Oryctolagus cuniculus: one gene and its partner. The main gene of each other region encodes a partner of the protein of the gene in region 2 in a complex. Links are inferred from orthologs where the notes say so. Each region holds a gene or a part of one and is shown on either strand. Other genes may lie near its edges.

Evidence for each region.
Region 1: PPIH (region 2) and LSM4 share a complex: the UniProt entries of both Homo sapiens proteins name them as parts of the U4/U6-U5 tri-snRNP complex. The link is inferred for Oryctolagus cuniculus from reciprocal best matches to the Homo sapiens genes PPIH and LSM4.

Annotation. Positions count from the first base shown.
Region 1 is NC_091447.1:65,592,522-65,595,506, forward strand, and holds the end of LSM4 (U6 snRNA-associated Sm-like protein LSm4), read right to left. Parts: intron 2,762-2,985; coding exon 2,720-2,761; intron 2,498-2,719; coding exon 2,399-2,497; intron 1,401-2,398; coding exon 1,217-1,400; intron 1,034-1,216; coding exon 942-1,033; 3' UTR 615-941; downstream 1-614. UniProt on the Homo sapiens protein: Plays a role in pre-mRNA splicing as component of the U4/U6-U5 tri-snRNP complex that is involved in spliceosome assembly, and as component of the precatalytic spliceosome (spliceosome B complex).
Region 2 is NC_091438.1:130,416,388-130,420,195, forward strand, and holds part of PPIH (peptidyl-prolyl cis-trans isomerase H), read right to left. Parts: intron 1,969-3,808; coding exon 1,881-1,968; intron 436-1,880; coding exon 395-435; intron 1-394. UniProt on the Homo sapiens protein: PPIase that catalyzes the cis-trans isomerization of proline imidic peptide bonds in oligopeptides and may therefore assist protein folding. Participates in pre-mRNA splicing.

The DNA of each region.
Region 1 (2,985 bases), on a different chromosome or scaffold from region 2:
CATCCGCTGGGCCACTCCCCAGGCGGCTGCACCGCCCAGGAGCCAGGCGCTCCATCAGGGGCTCGCGCGAGGATGGCAGGTGCGTTGGCTGGGAGCAGCCGGGACTGGAACCAGCGGTCCTGGGGGGTCGAGGCGGAGCTTCACCCGCTGAGCCACGGCGCCGGCCCCTAAGACGCCGCCACCACGGAGCTGTGGGCCGCAGAGCCGGGAGCCCCAAGCCGTGGGGGCTGCACTTACGTCCCTCCAATGCTGTCGCCCCTCCAGACGGGCCTCGGCCGGCCGTGACCGGAGAACGCCCAAGCGGGGACCCAGGCCTCCCCTGCGTCACCCCCCCCCGGCCGTGACCGGAACCCCTGCCCCCCCTGAGGTTGGGGGGCGATCACCAAGGTGACACCTGGTGGGAAAACAGAGAGGGGGCAGCGGGCCGGACAGTGGCTCCAGCCAGGGTGCCCCCTCCCCGACTCTCTATCAAGACGGGAGGGGCCGCAGGACAAGCCGGGCCAGGAGCTCGGGAGACCCCCCCAGCCCCTGTGGAGCCCCCAGGCCGGGTCGGGGCCCCCAGATGTGGTCTCCTGGGGCCCAAGGGCTGCAGGGCGGACGCAAGCCGAGGGGCCTTGAGGCTGGACTGGGCTTTATTTTCAGAACACAGAGAAATGGAAGCAAAGGCGCATGGGCCGGCCCCGTCCACTCCGTCTGGAAGGCGACACTACGGCCCCCGCGGGCCTGTCGCCGTGCGGGAGGGGCCGGCCCTGGGCCGTGCCAGCAGGTGCAGGCCGGGCTATCCACGGAGCTATCCACGGAGCCGGGCCGGCCTCGGGGCGGGGGCTTCACAAAACCAACACCACCACACAGGTGTCCACACTGGGGGGGGGGGCGAGGCGGCCCGGCCGGAAGGAGAGGGTCCCGCAGCGGGGCAGGGCTTCGGTCTCGGGGGGCGCGGCTCACTGCTTGCCCGCCTGCCGGCCCGGCTTCTTCTCTGGCTGGCCTCGGCCAGTGCCTGGGATCCCGCCTCGGCCCCGGCCGCCAAACACACCTGCAGGGACGGACAGAGGCGGCTTGGCCTCAGCTTCCCCAGCTGTGCGGCGGGGGCCGGGACAAGGGCCCAGGGAGGACAGGGGCTCCGCCACTGGCCAGGACCAGGGCTTGAGGGCCTAGGGGAGCACCGCTCCCCCCCCCCCGCCCGCACCTCCCCCGCCCCGCCCAGCCCTGCCCGCACCTCGCCCGGCGCCGCCCAGGCCGCGGCCCTTCTGCTGTTTCTGCTGCTGCAGGCCCCCGCGCCCGCGGCCCTTGGCCACCACCTCCTCCTTGACCATGTCGATGATCTCGTCCGGGATGCGCAGGTACTTGATGGTGCTGCCGCGGATGTAGCACTCGGGCATCCGCCAGAACTTGTCCCCGTCCTGGGCCGGAGGCAGCGCGTCAACGCCCGGCCCGGCGGAGGGTCCCTGAGCTGCGGCCAGGGCCGAGGCTGGGGGGCGCCCCCCCCCCGGGCGCCCCCCCCCCCCCCCCCCGCGCAGGGCCTGTCTGGCCCCTGGGCAGCCAGGAAGCCCCGCCCCCAGTGAGGCTGCTTGGGTCTCTCCCACCCCCCACTCCCCCTGCCCACAGCCCCCCTTCTAGAGCTGTCTCTGGGCCTGAGCAGGGCACCGACGGAGCCACGGCCCAGCGGGGCAGTGACCGGTGCCGTGGGCCGAGAGGGGCACCCCCAGCACGCCCCGCCCCCACCCCACAGCCCTGTGTGCCCCTGTCCCACAGATGCAATCCTGGCACTTCCCGGCCACACCCCCGCCCGGGCCCCTGCACAGGGACAAGGTCCACACAGCTCGGGACCGGCCCCGCCCTGGCCACCAGCCCCGCACGGTGCCTGCAGGCGCTGTTCCCGGCCAGAACCCCCCCTCCGGTCAGCTGCTCCCCGGGCGGCTGGGTGGGCGTCGCCGGCCGAGGCCGCTGAGGGCGGGCTCCCAGTGGGGACCCCAAGGCCAGCCAGACACAAGTAGGGCGGTCCCATGGGGCCCAGCTCCAGCGCCACGCTGGCTCCACAGTGGCCAAGGACAGGCCGGGACGTCACTCCTCCCCGCGGGCGCCGGGGATCTGGAAGCAGGGCCCGGGGGCTGAGCCAACCCTGGGGAGGCGCCGGGTCCCTCCCACCCCACCCCACCCCACCCCGGGGTCTGACCCAGCACCTCCCACCGGGAGGCGGGGCAGCCCAGGCCTGGCGGCCACCCCGGGGTCTGCAGGGGCTCACAGCCCGGGGGGAGGCCCTCAGTGGGTCCTGGGGAGCCGCCCCGCCCCTCCCACATCACCCGGTAGGTCCCGGCGGTGGGGGCACTGCCCTCCTCCTGCTGGCCGGGTGACGCCCACGGGGCGGGGCAGCAGGGGGGCGGGGCGGCGCGGGCCTCACCCTGGACGTGCAGATCACCTCCCGCAGGTTGATGTTCATCCAGTTGTCGCAGCTGACCAGGTGCCCGTTGTACGTCTCCCCGTTCTTCAGCTCCACCAGCTGCCGGGAGTCGGGGCCGCAGGTGTAGACGCCCGGGGGGCCCGGCTTGGCCCTGCGACCCCGCGAGGCCCGTGGACCACCTCCCGCGCGTGCGCACCCCAGCCCAAGTCCCTGCGCCCCCTGCCGCCCACCCCCCACCCACGCGGGGGACTGGAGGGAGCTCCCGGCTGCTGCGGGCGCAGGGCTGCGCACGGGAGGGCGGGAGGGCCCCCGCACACTCACCATGGGGTGGTTCTGCGCCGTCTTCAGCAGCGACAGGGGAAGCTGAAAGGCAAGCGTGCCAGGGACTGTGCGGCCCGGGGCGGCATCCCAGAAACCCCAAACTCCCCCCCCCCCCCCCCCCGTCGTTCTGCCAGAGAAGCCCCACCCCCCGGCGGCCACGCCCACGCCCCAGCGCGGCCACCCTGACCTCTCTCCGTGCCCTGGGCAGCACCTGCGGGCCCGTTGCCTCGCCCCAGGCGGCCCACGTGCAGAAGGAGCCCGCTGTG
Region 2 (3,808 bases):
GATGAACGCGATCCCACCAGGGGGAAGAGAAAGAAGAGCATCCAGGTGGAGGAAACAGCAGGGGCAAGGGCTGGGGCGGAGCCGTGTGTGGCACAGTGGGAGCAGGGCCAGCAGCCTGACACAGAGTGTGCAGCACAGCGGGGCAGGCAGGGATCAGATCACGAGGGACCCTGGACGCAGGGCTGAGGGGACCAGGTTGCCAGAGGCCGCTCCTCATTGTGGGACAGAGAGCCTAACCGACAGGGACAGAGCACTCAAGGGGAGAGTGCGACCTCCTCCCTTTCCAGAGGGTGTGCAGGGAACCAGAGGCAGGGAAGACTGGCTCTGTCTTTACCTTCTCTAGTCAGCAGGGACCAGACCCGAACGGCTGGGAAAGAGAGCAAGTAGGACTTACCTCAATCTTTCTCATCACCAGAAGGCCATCGATGATTTTTCCTGCAGGAAGAGTACAAGTTGGACTTTATTCTTCTTGTTTACATAGCATTTTCATTTCCAAAGCATGTTCTTGGATATTATCTTACTAATCCCTTTTACTAACTTTCAGAAATGGAGGGGCTGGTGTTGTGGTGTAGCAGGTAAAGCTGCCTACGATGCCAGCATCCCATATGGGTGCTGGTTTGTGTCCAGGATGCTCTACTTCTGATCCAGCTCCCTGCTAAAGGCCTAGGAAAAGCAGTGGAAGATGTCCCAAGCGTTTGGACCCCTCCAACCTACGTGGGAGATATGGATGAGGCTCCTGGCTCCTGGTTCTGCCCTGGCCCAGCGCTAACCGTTGCAGCCATGTGGGGAGTAAACCAGCACATGGATGATCTCTCTTTCCCTCTTTCTCTGCAACTCTGACTTTCACATAAACAAACAAAATCTTAGAAAAAAAATTGGGATTCAGTGGAAGCAAAATGACTTGCCTAAGGTCACAGGTAACAAGCAGCAAAGTTAGGGCTCAAGCTTATTTTTTTTATCTTATAGATTTAGTTACTTGAGAGGTAGAGTTAGAGAGAGAGAGGTCTTCCATCCGCTGGTTCACTCCTAAAATGACCCCAACGGCTAAAGCTGAGCAGATCTGGAGCCATGGGCCAGGAGCCAGAGCCAGGAGCTTCCTCTGGGTCTTCCACAAGGGTGCAGGTGCCCAAGCACTTGGGCCACCTTCCACTACTTTTCTAGGCACATTTGCAGAGAGCTGCATGGGAAGAGGAGCAGCCAGGCCTTGAACCAGCACCCATATGGGATGCTAGTGCCACAGGCGGAAGCTTAGCCTACCACACCACAGTGCCAGCCCCACGTCTGAACAATTCTAAAACCCACTGTAGTATGTTGCCTGTATGGCATGTCTTTTTTTTTTTATAGATTTATTATTTTAAAGGCAGAGTTGGGGGGGCGGGGTTGTCCTTCCATCCACTAGTTTACTCTCAAAATGGCCACAATAGCCCAAGCTGGGCTGAACCAAAACCAGGAGCTTCTTTTGGGTCTCTCACAGGGGTGTTGGGGCCCAAGAACTTGGGCCATCTTCTGCTTTCCCAGGTTACAGCAGAGAGCTGGATCGGAAGTGGAGCAGCGAGGATTTGAACCAGCGCCCACATGGAATGCTGGCACTGCAGGTGGTGGCTTAGCTCACTACTAGGGCATTTCTTTAGTCCCAACATCTGAGTTTTTCCCTTCAGCATACCTGTTACCCAAGTGGTTACACACCACATCAGGTCGCCCCTTTGCTCTTCCTTCTAGTCCTCTAACCACACATCTTCCCCACCCCACTTGCATCTGCCCTCCTACTACCTGGAGGTAACACCAGTTGCACATTCTTGGCAAGGGTTTGGGATTGGCTCCTCTGGGAGTCCCACCTTGGATGAGTGGAGCCTAGCTGTCAGGACAGGAGTAGAACTTACCAAATACTACGTGCTTCCCATCCAGCCAATCGCACTTCGAGCAGGTGATAAAGAACTGACAGCCGTTTGTACTGGGACCGCTGTTGGCCTGATGGGGACCAAACACACCTGCAGTTACTTTCTCTGTCCATGTTAGAGGCGAGATTCCCAAAAGAGCCTGTGGCCCTGGTTCCTCCACACTTCCTTTCAGTAAACCTATCTGAGCACCTATTAGGGGTCACAGCCTAAGCCAGGATCAAAAGATACAGAGATGGGGGCTGCAACACCAGTACCCAACAGGTGCCAATTTGAGTTCTGGCTGTTCCACTTCTGATCCGGCTCCCTGCTAATGTACCTGGGAAAGCAGTAGGGGATGGCTCATGTACTTGGGTTCCTGCCACCTACGTGGGAGAGCCAGATGGAGTTGCAGGCTCCTGGCTTCTGCCCGGCCCAGGCCTGGCCAGTGTGGCCATTTGTGGAGTGAACCAGCAGACAGAAGAGCTTGCCCTCTCTCTCTCCCCTCTAACTTTGCCTCTTAAATAACAAACTTTAAAAAACTTAAAAAGCAAAACCCAAAGACACAAAGATGAACAAACACAGCAGCCCTGCTCTTGAGGAGCTGGACCCTTTAACAAATGTACATTTTCCCTACAGAGTGTTTACAATAGGAACAATTGTTTTGGAGACATGATTTGTTGTATTAGTCCCAAACTGGTTACAACTTGATGATAATTACAAATTAGCTGCCAGCTGGGAAAGGCCTGTCTGAATGACTTTGTACTAGATCATAACAATACTAACAAAATGTAAGGAGCTGCAAGAAGCTGCTGTGCTAGAAAAATGACATTTAGTTCATGCTTGCTTGTAGTTATTCATATTCAGAGCCACACCCAATCTCATTATTATTGAAATTTACAGGAAAAATTACTTTCCAGAGAATCTGAAACTGTCTAGCCATCTCTTTGACATTGTTTTTAATTATTGTATTTAATAATGCACTATAATTACACAGCAGAGTGATACCTTGCAAAGAATCCTTGACTTTCATATGAAGTGGACTTTGCATACATTTTAAACTGATAACCTAAACTGCCTTTAACCTGCGAAATTCAGACTTCTGTACATCAGTGAACTCCAGCTGGAATTCGGCAGCACTGCCTTACAACAGGGTCAGTTTAACTATGTGAATATTTTGTTGTACATTTCCCTTATTTTGGAAAACAATGAGTAGAGAGAGGAGAACTGAAATTATTACTACTCTGAAGGAAAGACAGATCTCATAAAATTAACACCACTGAGACAAAAGTGGCAATTTTATTAGATAGGCCACTAACTTGAATCAGATTTTTAATGGATTTAAATTGGCTAGGTCTGTGTTTCAACTGTGAAGAAAAAATGTGAACGAAGTACTGGCAATACATTAAAGATTATGTTTAGAGAGGTGACCACCAGTTAGGGATTTTATATCATATTTTACAAATCCCTCATGTAAGAAGGGGCTAGGGGCCGGCGCTGTGGCGTAGCGGGTAAAGCTGCTGCCTGTGGTGCTGGCATCCCATATGGGTGCCCATTCAAGTCCCAGCTGTTCCACTTCTGATCCAGCTCTCTGCTATGGCCTGGGAAAGAAGTAGAAGATGGTCCAAGTCTTTGCATGAGACCCAGAAGCAGTTCCTGGCTCCTGGCTTCAGATCAGTGAAGCTCCGGCCGTTGTGGCCATCTAGGGAGTGAACCGGCGGATGGAAGACCTTCCTTTCTCTCTCTCTCTCTGCCTCTCTGTAACTCTGCCTTTCAAATAAGTAAATAAATCTTAAAAAAAAAAAAAAAAAAAGATGGGGCTATTTTGGGGATGTATTCAAAACATTTCGTATGAAAAGTAACAGACTGCCTAAACAGGCCAGAGTAGTCCCACTTTGGAATGTAGGATAGAATTCCCAAGGACTCCAATCATC